2 linked regions of the Schizosaccharomyces pombe genome follow. The protein of the gene in region 2 purifies or fractionates together with the protein of the main gene of each other region. This does not show direct contact. Each region holds a gene or a part of one and is shown on either strand. Other genes may lie near its edges.

Region 1 (6,961 bases), 750 kb from region 2:
TCCAGCCAACCTCGGAAGAGAGACGACCAACAGTGCAGTACTTGCGACCAGGCTTCAAGCGCAAAACACGAAGGGCAGCGGGGACAACGACACGCTTTTGCTTGTCAAATGGAGGAGGGATACCCTCAACGGCTTGAAGGTGCTCCAAAGCAGCTTGGCCACGAGCGGTCTTGTGGGGAAGCATACCACGTACAGCCTTTTGGAAAATACGAGAGGGTGCGCGGAAATGGAAAGCACCACGACTAGGGTTGTAACGGCATGCCTTGCGCAAATAAGCAAGGTACTTAAGTTTGTTACGGAAAAAGTGACCAGAGATGTTCAATTCCTCGCAACGAACCACTACAACTTTTTGCCCACCCAAAAGCTGCTTAGCAACGACCGATGCCAAACGACCGAGAAGATGGCTATTCATGTTAGTATTACAGCTTTAAATTTATTCTGTTTACATACCCTTTGGCGTCAATAACAACAACTTTTTGAAATTCAGACATATTGGTGGTCTCTGATAATACACATTTAGAAAAGCAGCAAGTTCGGTGTATGTGTGACGGTTGTTCCAACATTAACCCTAACCTAAACAGAAAATGTTTTTTTTTCAAGTCAATAGCATGGTAGAATTAAGAGGTGTAGCTATTATCGTTAAACTGTTTAACAAACACGTTGAATAAGCTGCACAACAATGCGTTCCCACTCGCCCAATATCCTAAAAGGTAGTTTCGAGAAAATGGTAACACTCGCTAACATGAGAGTAAATAAATGAACTAAATAAAACGAAGGTAAATGTGACTCTCATCTACAATATTTACCATAGGCCTGATAGGAATTTTAGTTTAAGCATGAGACGCCAAGTGCCTTATTTCAGTGAACATTAAAAATATTATTTTCGATTAAAAGAGGGATCAATTTGAAAGGCAATCACGGAGGTAGAACTACCGGTACTACCTTGAAACTCAAATACAGGAACAGGAACTGTAGAGTGGACAATAAAACCATTCTTCGTAAACCGCTCCTCTAACTCTTGAATTGTCCAATTGCAACTGGTAATGAGAAAAATGCCATTGGGGGATAGCATACCGCGAACCCTATCAACATAAACACTGTTCAACGGACGACCATCCAAAAGCTCCCCACTTAAAGAGATGGCATCAAACGTACCTTTGTCAAGTATTAAATCCCAATCTTTTGAGCAAAATTTAGAATCTTTAATGATGTCGAGTTGCTGGAATTTGACTTTATCTGAAAACTGACGATGTCTAGCAATGTTTTTAGCCAAAACAATTGCAGCTTCGCTATAATCTACACCTACCAATTGGCAAGGGCTTGGAAGCAGTGTATCTTCTTCTTCAAGCAAACGAAATAATAAATGCCCATTACCAGTACCCAGGTCCAGGACACGAAAAGGCGCCGCTTCCGATACTTCTCTAAATGAGGTGGAAATGTGATCTTCTAACCATTGAACAATTCGTTCTTCAGCCTCTTCACCAAACCAAACTTCCCCTTCGTCATTAAATTCTGTAAAGTTGGATACTTCACGTTCATAGACATTATCCCAGCTAAAAACCTTTAGTAATATGCCCAATAAGAAAACAATAATGTTTAAAAACATACTATTGTTTTGTTCCCAGCTTTGATTCCGGTAATCCACTCATTGTCCTTTTTTTTTATTTTATCTTTCAAGACTTTCCCTACACAGTCTTTTCTATTTCTGTTCCCTATATTTACAAATTTTCAGAAAAGTCTTTGGAAAATGTTGTAATTTCTATTCGATAACAATCAATGTAAAGTTCTATCTTCCCTTCCTAGCTCGAGGTTAAGGGCCGGCACATAGGGTGGGAGAATAATATGTATTATTATTGTAAGGAAAAAATAATCCATTTGTAATCGTATTAAACAAAAATTTTTACCAAAAGTGATTAGTGAACAAATATTAAAAAAATACTCCAGAAATAATTTAATTGTTATATTTCTTGCATATCATAAACACCTATAAACCCATCAATAAATTCTTGTTGACAACAGATTTGTATATCCAGGCCACAATGTGTACTTATCCAACGTCAAAATCCTATTTTCAATAAAATAATGAGCAATGCCATTAAACTTAATCGATTTTAAAACACTCGGTCTAGTTTAACTTGGCTTGAGTTGCTACGCCGTTCGCTATAAAATCAAAAGTTTTGGTTGGAGATGTAGAAAACTTTTCAGTAAAGATGTTACTTTTTTTTTTAGTTTTTGCAAATGAAAGTTAGAATCTTCTTAACATTGTAGCAGGTTGCTTGAGCTTCTTGCATTACTCAAGAACGCCTGCCATCACTCATTCGAGTTTCTAAACATAGCGGCATTACTAGTTGTATAACGTTCAATTGTCAAAGAGAAACTGCTATACTTTAACTAAACAACACCTCGTCGCATTATATACCATACTTACTACACAACTTACAATCTAACATACACTCTAGAAAAATTATATTATCAATGTATTCAATACCCTGTATCACATGTATTAAAAATTAAAACCTAAACAATTATTTTTTCCGTAAGCAAACATTGCCTAAGCTTATTTCTTAGCACCAGCCTTAACAGCGGCCTTGGTAACCTTAGCGGCACCAGGAGCAACCTTCTCGACAGCTTTGATGACACCGACAGCGACGGTTTGACGCATGTCACGGACAGCGAAACGACCAAGAGGAGCGTAGTCAGTGAAAGCTTCAACACACATAGGCTTGGAAGGAACCATCTTAGCAATGCAAGCATCACCAGACTTGACGAACTTGGGGGACTCCTCAATCTTCTTACCGGAACGACGGTCAATCTTCTCAATGAGCTCAGCGAACTTGCAAGCAATGTGAGCAGTGTGGCAATCCAAAACAGGAGAGTAACCAGCAGAGATTTGACCGGGGTGGTTAAGAATGATGACTTGAGCGGTGAAGCTAGCACAACCCATGGGAGGATCATTCTTGGAGTCACCACAGACATTACCACGGCGAATATCCTTGACGGAAACGTTCTTAACGTTGAAACCAACGTTGTCACCGGGAAGACCAGCGTCGAGAGACTCGTGGTGCATCTCAACAGACTTGACTTCGGTAGTGACACCAGCGGGAGCGAAGGTGACAATCATACCGGGCTTGATAACACCAGTCTCGACACGACCGACGGGAACTGTACCAATACCACCGATCTTGTAAACATCTTGAAGGGGAAGACGAAGAGGCTTGTCAGTGGGACGTGCAGGGGGCTCAATGGAGTCAATAGCCTCCAAAAGAGTCTTACCCTTGACGACACCAGCCTTGGTCTCCTTTTGCCAGCCTTGGTACCAGGGCATGTTGGTGGTGGGCTCAATCATGTTATCACCTTGGAAACCGGAGACAGGGACGAAAGGAACGGTCTTGGGGTTGAAACCGACCTTCTTGATGAAGTTAGAGGTCTCCTTAACGATTTCCTCGAAACGAGCTTGGGACCAGCCAGTGGTGTCCATCTTGTTGACGGCAACAATAAGTTGCTTGACACCCAAGGTGTAAGCAAGCAAAGCGTGCTCACGGGTTTGACCATCCTTGGAGATACCAGCCTCGAACTCACCAGTACCACCACCAATAATAAGGATAGCACAGTCAGCTTGAGAAGTACCGGTAATCATGTTCTTGATGAAATCACGGTGACCGGGGGCATCAATGACAGTAACATTGTACTTGGGAGTCTCGAACTTCCAAAGGGCAATGTCGATGGTGATACCACGTTCACGCTCGGCCTTGAGCTTGTCCAAAACCCAGGCGTACTTGAAGGAACCCTTACCCAACTCGGTGGCTTCCTTCTCGAATTTTTCAATGGTACGCTTGTCAATACCACCGCACTTGTAAATCAAGTGACCAGTGGTGGTAGACTTACCAGAATCGACGTGACCGATAACAACGACGTTAATATGTCCCTTTTCCTTTCCCATTTTTGTTTAATGTGAGTTCGATGAAACAGACTCTAGGTAGAAGCGAAGGGCGCCAGCGCCTACATATATACTTGCGCAAAAAAAGCAGTCACATAACGTTCGTTACGTCTCGAAAGTTTTTTTCTTTTTTTCCGGCTTAAAATATTGTCGTGAGCCTATCAGCGAACGAATTTTGTTTGCGCAGGAAAGTCATGATGTCATTTAAAATTTTTCTTTGCTTCTTAACCTTTTGTCTTTAGAGTACACTTAGCCGAATTTGCCACCGCAATAAACATTAGCTTAGCGAACGTCGTTCTTGGCGATTTTGATTTATTGGGCGGAAACGATCAACGCTGTATATATGAAATGGATCGTTTTTCGTTAATTTAAAAATATATATCTGGTTTATTAAATGATGAAAAATATTTAGTTGTATCATTGAACCATTTTTGATGGCCGTTATCAGATCGGATTGAGATTGTGGACTGAGATTTTCGCTGATATACCCACCTTAGCTGCTTTTGTTTGTTCTTTGTCCGTCACCACAACGGTAATAGTTTTGATGGCTTTGCTTTTGGAGGGTACTTCTTTGGCCCGGTATGTCTTTTTTATCGTGTATATATAGTTTTGTCTAACAGTTGAATTAGCAAAGTTCGAGAAGAACTTCGGGAGCAGATCTCCTCGATTAAATCTGTTGACCCTTATTTCAACGTTTCTTTAAAAATCATTCAAGTCGGAGGTAGAGAGGACTCAAATGTATATGTGCGCATGAAAACTCGTGCAGCTAATGAGGTATGAGTGAAGGCGGAGAAGGGTCTCCTAAAATGATTGAAATGCGTAGGGACGAGTTATTAAAAGCGCACTGGTTTTAAAAGTTCACCCTAACACTCATGTACAATCTGGCGTTAGTTGGCGCGATGGATGATTTTTTGGTTTTTCGATAATGTTAGAAGGTAGATGATGCTTGGGTGGACTATTTAAATATTTGCAATTCTCTTATTCATTAAATTCATTTTCTTTCTTTTACATCTCCTTCAATTAAATCCATGCATTATTTTCTAACTGTTTAGGCTGGAATCTCCTGTGAGCATGTGAATTTTCCTGAAGATATTACAGAATACGACTTGCTGCTTGCCATCAAAGGCTTCAACGAGGACCCTACTGTCCACGGTATTATTGTACAGTTACCTCTGCCTGCTCACATCAATGAGCAGATTATTACAGAAGCCGTCGCTCCCGAGAAAGACGTTGATGGTTTTTGTGAAACTAATTTGGGAAAATTGACCAAGCGCGAAGGTCAACCCTTGTTTACCGCATGCACCCCAAAAGGTATTATGTGCATTTTAAAACATTACGGGATTAATGTCCAAGGAAAGCATGCTGTTGTCATAGGCCGTAGCAACATTGTTGGTCGTCCAATGTCCATACTTTTGGAAAAGGCAAATGCCACAGTTACTTTATGTCATTCAAAGACGGAATCTATTGCTGATATTGTTAGGACAGCTGATATTGTCGTTGCTGCCATTGGTATTCCTCATTTCGTCAAGGCTGACTGGTTGAAAAAGGGCGTTGTCGCTATTGATGTTGGTATCAACTCTATTCCAGATGCCACCAAGAAGTCTGGTTACCGTCTTACCGGCGATATTGACTTTGAAAATGCCAAGGAGGTCGCCAGCGCAATCACACCTGTCCCTGGTTCTGTTGGTCCTATGACCGTAGCCATGTTGCTGCAAAACGTGGTTGAATCAGCTGTTCGCTTTCGCAAAATGTCTCGCAAGCGTAAACCAACTCTTCTTCCTTTAAAGCTTCAGACCCCTGTTCCTAGTGATATTGAGATTGCGCGTTCACAAACCCCTAAAAATATTGGTGACTTGGCTTCCGAAATTGGTATCGCAAAATCTGAATTAGAATTTTATGGATCCCATAAAGCCAAGGTCAACCTTGAAATTCTTCAACGTCTGGCTCATCGTCGCGACGGCCACTACGTTGTAGTTACTGGTATCACTCCTACTCCATTCGGCGAGGGTAAAAGTACACTTACTGCAGGACTCGTTCAAGCGCTTTCAAACTTGGACAAGCTTGCTATTGCATGTGTTCGTCAACCCTCTCAAGGCCCCACATTTGGAATTAAAGGTGGTGCTGCCGGAGGTGGTTATTCTCAATTCATCCCTATGGAGGAGTTCAATCTTCATTTAACTGGTGACATTCATGCAATTACAGCAGCTACCAACTTGCTTGCTGCTGCCATCGATACCCGTATGTTCCATGAAAACACACAATCCGATGCCGCTTTGTATAAACGTTTGACTTTGGTTAAGGGAAACAAACGAGAGTTTGCACCCGTCATGTTCCGTCGCTTGAAAAAGCTTGGCATTGATAAAACTAATCCTGAAGAATTAACCGAAGAAGAGCAAAGAAAATTTGCTAGGCTGGATATTGAACCTTCAACTATTTCATGGAATCGTACTTTGGATGTTAACGATCGCTTTCTTCGTAAAATTACTATTGGAGAGAATCCTACGGAAAAGGGTTTCACTCGCCAAACCGGTTTTGATCTTTCTGTCGCTAGCGAATGTATGTCTGTCTTGGCCTTGGCTACTGACTTGAAAGATATGCGTGAGCGATTAGGCCGCATGGTTGTTGCCAGCAACAAATCTGGTGAACCTGTTACCGCTGATGATTTAGGAGTTGGTGGTGCCTTGACAGTCTTGCTCAAAGACGCAATTAAACCAACACTTATGCAAACGTTGGAGGGTACTCCTGCTCTTGTTCATGCTGGCCCTTTTGCAAATATCAGTATTGGTGCCTCTTCCATTCTGGCTGATCGCATTGCCCTCAAATTAGCGGGTACCGAAGTGGATGAGGATGCTAAGAAAGAAGCTGGATATGTTGTAACTGAGGCAGGATTCGCTTCCGATATCGGAATGGAAAAGTTCTTTAATATCAAGTGTCGTACTTCAGGTTTAAAGCCTGATGCCATTGTTATCGTTGCAACTGTTCAAGCATTGAAGTTACACGGCGGCGGTCCTCCTGTTGGACCTG
Region 2 (8,032 bases):
GTGAAAAAACGGATTTTGAAAAAAGAGATGGAATGAAATTAAAATAACTTCGTTCAGCTGCTGTTACAACGTAAGTAAATGAGGCCGGGTACGATATACTAAAGTGGAGAGCAGCAGAGGATAAGTAAGGAGAAGGGCAAAAGCCATGGATTTTAAGGGTCTTTATTGAATCATCTGAAACAGAGCCATAATTTTGCAAGTGATTGTTCAAAAATTTTTCAAGCACATGTCTCTCTGGTGAGTCCAACATCGATATTGAATTATCCAACAAGGAAAAAGTCTCTAAAGTTCCAGAATGTGTCAAGATGTAAACATATATGGTATCAATGTCGTTATGACCAAACAACACTCCAGAAGGAGAGCAAAGGGACAAAAGATTATGGTTCAAAAAAGAGCAAAACTTCCCTAATGACTTGTCATACCGAAATGCAAATAAATGGCCAGGATAAACTAACGCAAGGTATTCAACATTGGCTAATGGAGATGACCAGGCTAGCAGAGGAGAAAACGGTCTATAGTCCAACGAGAAAGGTAGCTCTTGCATAGCGGTATCAAAAGTGTCAGAATGAGAGCTAATAGCTATTTTTAAAATTCGGATTTCTCCATTCCGAGAAGAACACGATAGCAAACAGGTAGCTGAATCCCCAACCACATTCCAGCTGGAGAATGATAACTGAACTACCCATGAGCAATTCAAATCAAAAGACTTGAAAAATGGGGTAGATGAATGTGACATAATAGAGAGATGGACATGACCCGACTCTGCACCAAGTGCAAACAAACACACGCCCCAAGGTGAAGATGAAGGAAGACTTACCAAAGGCGACCATGCAACGCTATGAATTCGGCAAAGTTCCAAAGGATCGGAAGGTAAGTGAGTACTCATTTGTGCCACGCAAGTCCATTTTTGATGGAGAACGCGACTAGATGAAGAAAAGAAATACACACGATGACGATTAGTTAAAACAGTTAACAATGGACTAGCTGATTAGCGTTCAAATAAAAAGTAGAATAGAGAAACAAAACCGAATAAGACTTTATTTTAGGCATTGAAACGATAAACAAACTTTAAAAAATGAAACAAATTTCATAAAAATAGAAATATTTACGCACAAAAACACAAACCGAGTGGAATGTTAAGTAAAGTCAAACTCAAGTCTTCTCTTTTTAAGAACATACTCGTAATTGTCTGCGAGACCTGTTGGCGACCAGACCACATAGCGGCTTATGACACTTGGAGTTAGATCTCCTAAACGAAGCTCATTAGCTGTAAAACACGTTAGCTTTTATACTCTCATAAGCATCAAAGGGCATTGGGAACATACGAGCAAGCATTTGGCAATTTGGTAGTTCATCTTCCACATCATCTAAATAGGCTAGCGCCTTCATAAACTTAGGCGTATTGGCTTCAGTTGAAGGTACCTGAAGGGAATTAGCTAGTCTCGAACACGTCAATTTGAGATATGTACCAAGATTTGGACTTTTTCTGAATCGCAAAAAGCCAATTTTCCATCGCAAGAACAAGTACAGCTATACAAGCTTGATGGAAGAAAATCCAATGCTACATCCTTTCCCATTGTAAGAAAGACGACGAGCGATGTTGAAGCCAGGTGAACAATTCCATCAAATGCGTTAAAGTTCAGTGCCTTGCGCAATGCTAGTTGAGAAAGACTTGCATGAAAAATCCACTAAAATAGCTGTAAACAAGATGATATTGGACTAGAATTTTGCTTCATCTTATAAAACTTAGCAACAATGCGATGGTGTTATCGGTCCGCTTTACTGTCTGCAAACACTGACACCTGAAACAACTAAAACCAACAGGTATATACAGTGAAGAACAAAAAGAGAGAAAAAGGAAAACCACTCTTTATAACTCTCTTGACTCCAACAGGATCCCGAAAAAAGTTACCCTATATAAAACGATAATTGTGAATTTTAGAAAATGTACAGTTTACTCAAGGTCAGCTTCATCACGTAGCCGTTTTAAAGGACCTCTGCTGTCATTTTCGGCGACGATTCTTTCAATAATCTTACTTTTCGAATGAGCGTATTGAATTTTCTTATTAAAGATGTTAGTCAATCGTTTTTGTTTTTTTATGGGGATTAATGAGAAAGCTCATTTCACAGCATACCATTTCCTTTCCGAAGAATATGAAATTTTTTAAGGCCTTCATCGCAATTGCAGCGGCAGAGGGATCAAAGAATACAACATGAGCTTGACCTCTCATCTTGGGAGTTTTCAACGCGACAATATCAACCACGGTCCCATAAGTGGAGAATAGCATATATAGTGCTGTTCTTAAATCATTTTTATTAATTTTATCATTCAAATTATTCACATAAAGTGTATTTTGATTCATTTTCGCCCTAGTTTGGTGTTTTGCAAATGCTGAACTCTTTACCTTATATTTTTACCTGCAAACACTGCGCGCTAACAATCGCTATGAGTTAACTTATTGAATGGATTGTTGAAAAGGCTCGTCTTAATTACATTAAAATGCTAAAGCTTTTACATTTTTAATTTATCTTTTAAGGCTATAAATATCCATATTTAATTTTCCGGAACGAAATATGTTTATTTGCAATTCTACGACCATTGAACGCTAGTCATCTGAATTATGATTCAAGTCACAATTATTTTTAGAGATCCCTTAAATATAATCAAATCGTAACAAAAAATCAACGATAATAATAGTTCACGTTAAAAATCTTTCCCAAGCATTGTGCAGTTGTTGATAGTTTAATCCTTATGTACTCAAATTTCCATATTTAAAAGATTGAAAAAATGTTATTTTTTAGTAGTATAGAAAATAGAGAATATTTTAAGACTAGATGATTTTTTCGATCCACCGTATTCCCACTCTGGGGAAATAATTTTACAGGAAATGCCTTAAAACCCCAGCAAGATTCCTAATCCAAAAACCTACAGCATAGTAACATTAATCAGTAATTCTATATTTTTAAGTAAAGACTTTGATCCTAATTCAACACGTAGCTTTGAGAGTCAGCTTTCCCATTTACATTCCAGTGAACCGAAATGTCCAAATCACGATTGTTTTTTTTATTTTTTGAAAAGGAAATAGTTCCTTCAACACGAGTGCCTTTTTGAAGGAAAGGACGATTACGTAGTAACAAAACGCATTGTTTCCAATGAGTAGGAGTGCCTTGAGGGCCTGTTGTAAATCCACAAGCTTCATCAATAGCTTCTGGAATAGGCTGTGTTCTCTTAGTCGTAAAATACGTATCAAACCATAAAGTGAAAGCACAAAGCGGTCCTTCGTTGTCTATAATTAGAGAGAAGGGGGAAGTAAAACTGACATCTTGAACTTTGCACGTATGCATATTAAACCTTGCAAAAACAACAGGCTTGGCGTTAACATAAGTTTGAGGAACGACTTGTACACTAACACCTTTATAAGAAGCATCCTTCATGCCATTCATTTTGAAACCATACACATCGCTCCAGAAATCAATAGGTTCTTCTAACAATTCAGTGTTTGTGGTAGCTGTAAGTACCAATCGTGTCTCGGACGGTGCCATAATTCCAGAAGGTGCAAGGAAGCGATCTCTGGCAACAAGGACGGAATCAATCATACTCTCAAACGTTAGAGCATAGCCCATCCATTCCGAAATAATGATATCTACCTTGCCAACCGGTAAACTGATATCTTCGATTTTTCCACGAATAAAAGTAATTTGATCAGCAAGACCATTTTCAAAAGCATTTGAGATAGCCATTTGAATGATATCGGAGTTGTCCACAGCATAAACCTTCTTGGCGCCAGCCTTTGCGCAAAACATGGATAAAATGCCAGTACCGCATCCTACATCCAAAACCGTTTTTCCAGCAAAAATATGCTTATTATGATAAACGAAGTCACGGTATCCCTCGGTCCGGACAGAATCGTTTAGCATAAGGAAATGAATATCATTTCCAGCGTAAGACTCGAAATAATAAGAATCGTTATCTGCTTTCTTTGGGGTAACTGATAGCTGATCTGTAGTCTGACTAGTCAATTCATTCATTTTATCTTTTCGAATTTCTTCAAGCTGAGAGATAAGAAGTTGATTTTGTAACTTTAATTTCTTTATTTCTGCATCTTTAGAAACATCTGCTGGATTCTCTACTTCAATTTCGAGAGTATTGTCGTCCTCAAAATCTGAATCGAGTTCATCGCCAAGCGAGAAGAGTACACTGTCGTCAGGGAGTACAGAAATCATGTATTCGTCGGACCGTAAAATGTCGGAAAGTTTGTCCAAATCTGGTGTTTTTCCTTCCTTGACTTGAGACCGAATGTAATTTACCAATTTAATGCAAGCATAGAAATCCAAATTATTCTGCTGCTTAACTTGATAAAAGTCAAAGTTGTGTGCTACAATAGAACCAAAGTTAGCCATGTATGAATATTAATAGATATACAAAATTTTTAAATTAAATAGAAAAACTCATACCTTCTTTACAATGACTCCATAAGTCTTTTAAACAGGTAAAGGTAGAATCGCAAAACAAGCAACAAAATTCATGTACCTCATCCTCCCAAACTTCCTCTATTAAGAGTTAGTATTAACTTTATTGTTTCCATTTGAAAGCTGGGATGCATCGTCTTTCAAAGAAAGGGTAGCAGCAGAAAAAACGAAAACCGTGTCCCAGGGGAATTGAGCAAATCCTGAATAATAATGTTCAATCCAGGAAATCGGATCATTCATCATTGACTGATAGAGATGAATATCCATTCATGTCAAGCAATAATCGCAAAAAGATAGCATGGAATTCCAGTATTAACTAAACAAGCAACAAATTCCCCCAGAAGTAAAAAACATTGATTTCAGACCAGTACAACAGCCAAGCATATTATTCATACCTTCATTATCCCAGTCAACCTCTGAATCACTATGAGAGCCCATTTGTTTAAAACGGTTGGCAATTGCTAAAGAAAAATCCTCTATTGTTGTTACTTTTCTCGTCCAAATTTCAAAGTAACATGCCATAGGTTTCACTAACATTGGAACAAAGGTTCTTAAGATTGCACTACCAGCGCTTTCATTGAGATCAAGTGTGTTTTTTTTTTAAGAACTTGATCAACTTAAGCATAGGTTTTGACTCCTTGAGAGAATTTTGTTGCTTCAGATTTTTGGGCCTTTGGAGTGATGTTAGTGGTATTTCAGCGCGTTGTGCGTGCAACAGTCTTGGTTGGCAGAAAGGATACCATTCGAACAGTGAAAACCCATTCCGGCGCTAAAAAGAGATGGATTCTTACAGAAGATGGTAAAAGCTTTAAGCGAAAGCACGCAGGTGCTCAACATTTGAACCGTGACACGTCTAGTTCAACGAGAGCTAGACAACGTCAATGGGAAGAAGCAAATACAATACAAAAACGAGTGTTAAAGAGGCTTCTTCCTTTTAAATGAGAGAATGATAAGGATCTCTTTATTAACCCTAATTTCATGTACATGACATGGCAAAATTTACTTTCCTGCTTTATGATTATTGAAATTTTTCAAAGCATACTTTTTATGGTCTTAAATTTTCAGTTTATCCTTGGTGGGTTCGTTTGTGGTAGGACAAAATTGTCTATCCTTAAGGATTCTTTCCTACCTTATATAAATATCCATGCTAAGATCTAACTATGTTGTCTTCTAATGACTCGTTATACTAAACATTTCATTTTTATGAATCAGCCTTTTTCCATCACATGAATTTGATTAAATTTAAGTTGGTTTTATCGTTGAGTTATTGACTCCTGTCCACTTTCTCTTAAATACACATAGTGGTGAAGAGAAATTCAAAGCTTATATCTTTCTCCCCTTTTTACGTTTTGACTTTTATCTTGCTTACCGTTCCTTTTGAATTCCATAAATTGATTTTCAAATTCATTGAAAGTATGTCAAAGTCGCAGTTCCGTCGGATTTTTAACTACAGATCATCAAAAAACTGTTCCTAAATTAAAAGGAACTATACGGAAATTCCTACAAATAGAAATCACAATTTCATGGATCCTCTTTTTATCCTTCAGCGTAAGCATCAATCCCTTTCTTCAAGTGTGGGTAACATGTTACCTGTTAGTAACGAATTGCAAATTTGTGCACTGAAATTTATCATTGCTTAGCCTGGAGGCAAGGTGGTGGGACCTGCCTGATTCTCCCTTAGAAACAGCGTATATCACATATTCAATTAGTATTGAAATTTTCAGAGGGTCTTGAATAAATTGTCGGCGTAGCATCTTGGTGTTATGGGACGCCCTTTAATAGAGTCCAGTTCAAACGACCATGTTGCAAATTTCAATAGAAAAACAAAGAAGCTGATTGATCAAGCGCTTGAACATTATAATGGAAGATTACCTGAGCAGCTTGAAAATTTCAGCTTTGAGAACTTTGTCGAAGTTTTGGATACTGAGTCCTCAGTGGTAAATCGAGTCTTCGAAGTACTGGTGCGCGAGGTTGCTGGTTCTTTTCGGCAAAGGAAGCGTGCTCACATGCCTAGGACTAATACCACTGCTCAAGTTGTTCAAAGGCAATTAGCGCCCAGTATATCAACCGTTTTTTCGCGTGATTCCAACGATCCTCTTGTTGACGATATGGATCAAGAGTACATCTTATAAAACATGAGACTGGAATCTTTATGGAGGCCGGAAAAGATGGATTTTGAAGATTTGACTTTTACTTGTCTTTTGTACTTTTCTATCACAAGGTTTAATTATTACATGCTTTCCAGTCTATGAAATAGGTGATAATGAACTATTTATTTATGAGCATATTTTTTAAGTCGATCAGCAAAAACCACATAGATTTATTTAAAAATTTAATTGCATCGCAACATTGTTTTTGTAGACGTTAGAGCAACTAGCTCATAGTTTGTAAGTAATCAAATCTCATAGTATTATATGATTCATCAAGGAGAAAAAAGTTTCATATTTTTTAATTTTCTTTTTTTTAACCTTATTCATCAAGAATAGGCAAAAAGTGGGAATTCAGTATACTCAAATGAATGAACATTACATCCTCGTTTTCATACAAGTCGTCGATTAATTTTTGAATATCTTCTCTGACAGAATCTTTTGCAGGTACATCGATAGCCGTTTCTTCCAGAGGAATATGGATTAAACGAGAATCTTTGATTTCATAGTTTTTAGATCGAAAATGATGAGCCACCTGGTTTAAACTAGAGGGCTCGGTTAAAATCAAAAATTCACCTTCATCTTCTTCGTCTATGTACTCTTTGGGCCTATTGACTATGTCCTCTGCGCCAGCTTCAATAGCATCGTCGAGAACATCTTCAAATTTCATAGAATCTCGTTTTTCTGGAGGAAGATTTACTTCCACCTTACCCTTTTTGCTAAACAAAAATTTGACAGTCGATAAAGAAGCCCCATGATTTCGTAAAATATGTTTGATTGAAGAAGCAGCTCGAGCTCGATTGTCTGTAACCGCTTCAACTATAAGACCGACTCCTGATGGATGCATTGCTTCATACTCAATAAAATGAACTTGCGAACCTTCACTTCCAGCCGTACCCAATCCTCGATTAATTGCATTTTCAATACCAGATTTCGGCATGGATATTTTCTTGGCACTCTCTAGTAGTGTCGCCAGCCGCATATTCAATTCAGGATTGGCACCTTCTTGTCGAACTGCTAGAATGATTCCCTGTGAAAGTCTGGATACACAGTAATATTAGTAACTGTTATTAGATAGTAGTGTGAAACAAGACGAGCCCTTACTTTCCAATTTGTAAACTTCTTGCCTGGTCATTCGCCGATTTTTTGTGCTTAATTTTTGACCACTCTATAAAGGTTAATATGCGTATATAAAACTGGTAACATTATAGTGTCTATGGATCTTATAAATTCACTGTTGTTGACAGTAACCCAGTTTGCAAGAAAACCTGAACATTCACTTAATTGTATGTTCGAGCAATTAACTGAACACTTTATAAAAGTGGATATGAATACAGTTCAAATTTTATCACTTTCAATTCTTCTGTCTTATGTGAAAGATCCCAGTAATTCAGCAAAGAATCATAGTCAACATT

What was found. The genes of interacting proteins can lie anywhere in the genome.
Region 1: the proteins of rmt3 (region 2) and tef103 purify together in Schizosaccharomyces pombe (affinity purification with mass spectrometry, with the first as the bait; one study listed by BioGRID). This does not show direct contact.

Annotation. Positions count from the first base shown.
Region 1 is NC_003423.3:623,549-630,509, forward strand, and holds tef103 (translation elongation factor EF-1 alpha Ef1a-c), read right to left. Parts: upstream 3,975-6,961; 5' UTR 3,941-3,974; coding exon 2,558-3,940; 3' UTR 2,456-2,557; downstream 1-2,455. Other genes in the region: rpl1601 (60S ribosomal protein uL13), read right to left, coding at 1-404, 451-491; methyltransferase Efm4, read right to left, coding at 878-1,553, 1,609-1,649; C1-5,6,7,8-tetrahydrofolate (THF) synthase, trifunctional enzyme Thf1, read left to right, coding at 4,482-4,516, 4,567-4,711, 4,990-6,961. UniProt on the Schizosaccharomyces pombe protein: This protein promotes the GTP-dependent binding of aminoacyl-tRNA to the A-site of ribosomes during protein biosynthesis.
Region 2 is NC_003423.3:1,373,359-1,381,390, forward strand, and holds rmt3 (ribosomal protein arginine N-methyltransferase Rmt3), read right to left. Parts: upstream 4,934-8,032; 5' UTR 4,909-4,933; coding exon 4,866-4,908; intron 4,552-4,865; coding exon 4,456-4,551; intron 4,377-4,455; coding exon 2,983-4,376; 3' UTR 2,531-2,982; downstream 1-2,530. Other genes in the region: transcription factor TFIIIC complex subunit Sfc9, read right to left, coding at 1-980, 1,180-1,267, 1,326-1,422, 1,470-1,577; U2 snRNP-associated protein Msl1, read right to left, coding at 1,955-2,062, 2,136-2,363; new15 (mitochondrial 54S ribosomal protein bL35m ), read left to right, coding at 5,152-5,412; SPOM_SPBC8D2.11 (uncharacterized protein), read left to right, coding at 6,234-6,602; tac1 (cytochrome C oxidase subunit I translational activator), read right to left, coding at 6,940-7,657, 7,722-7,785. UniProt on the Schizosaccharomyces pombe protein: Methylates (mono and asymmetric dimethylation) the guanidino nitrogens of arginyl residues in ribosomal protein rps2.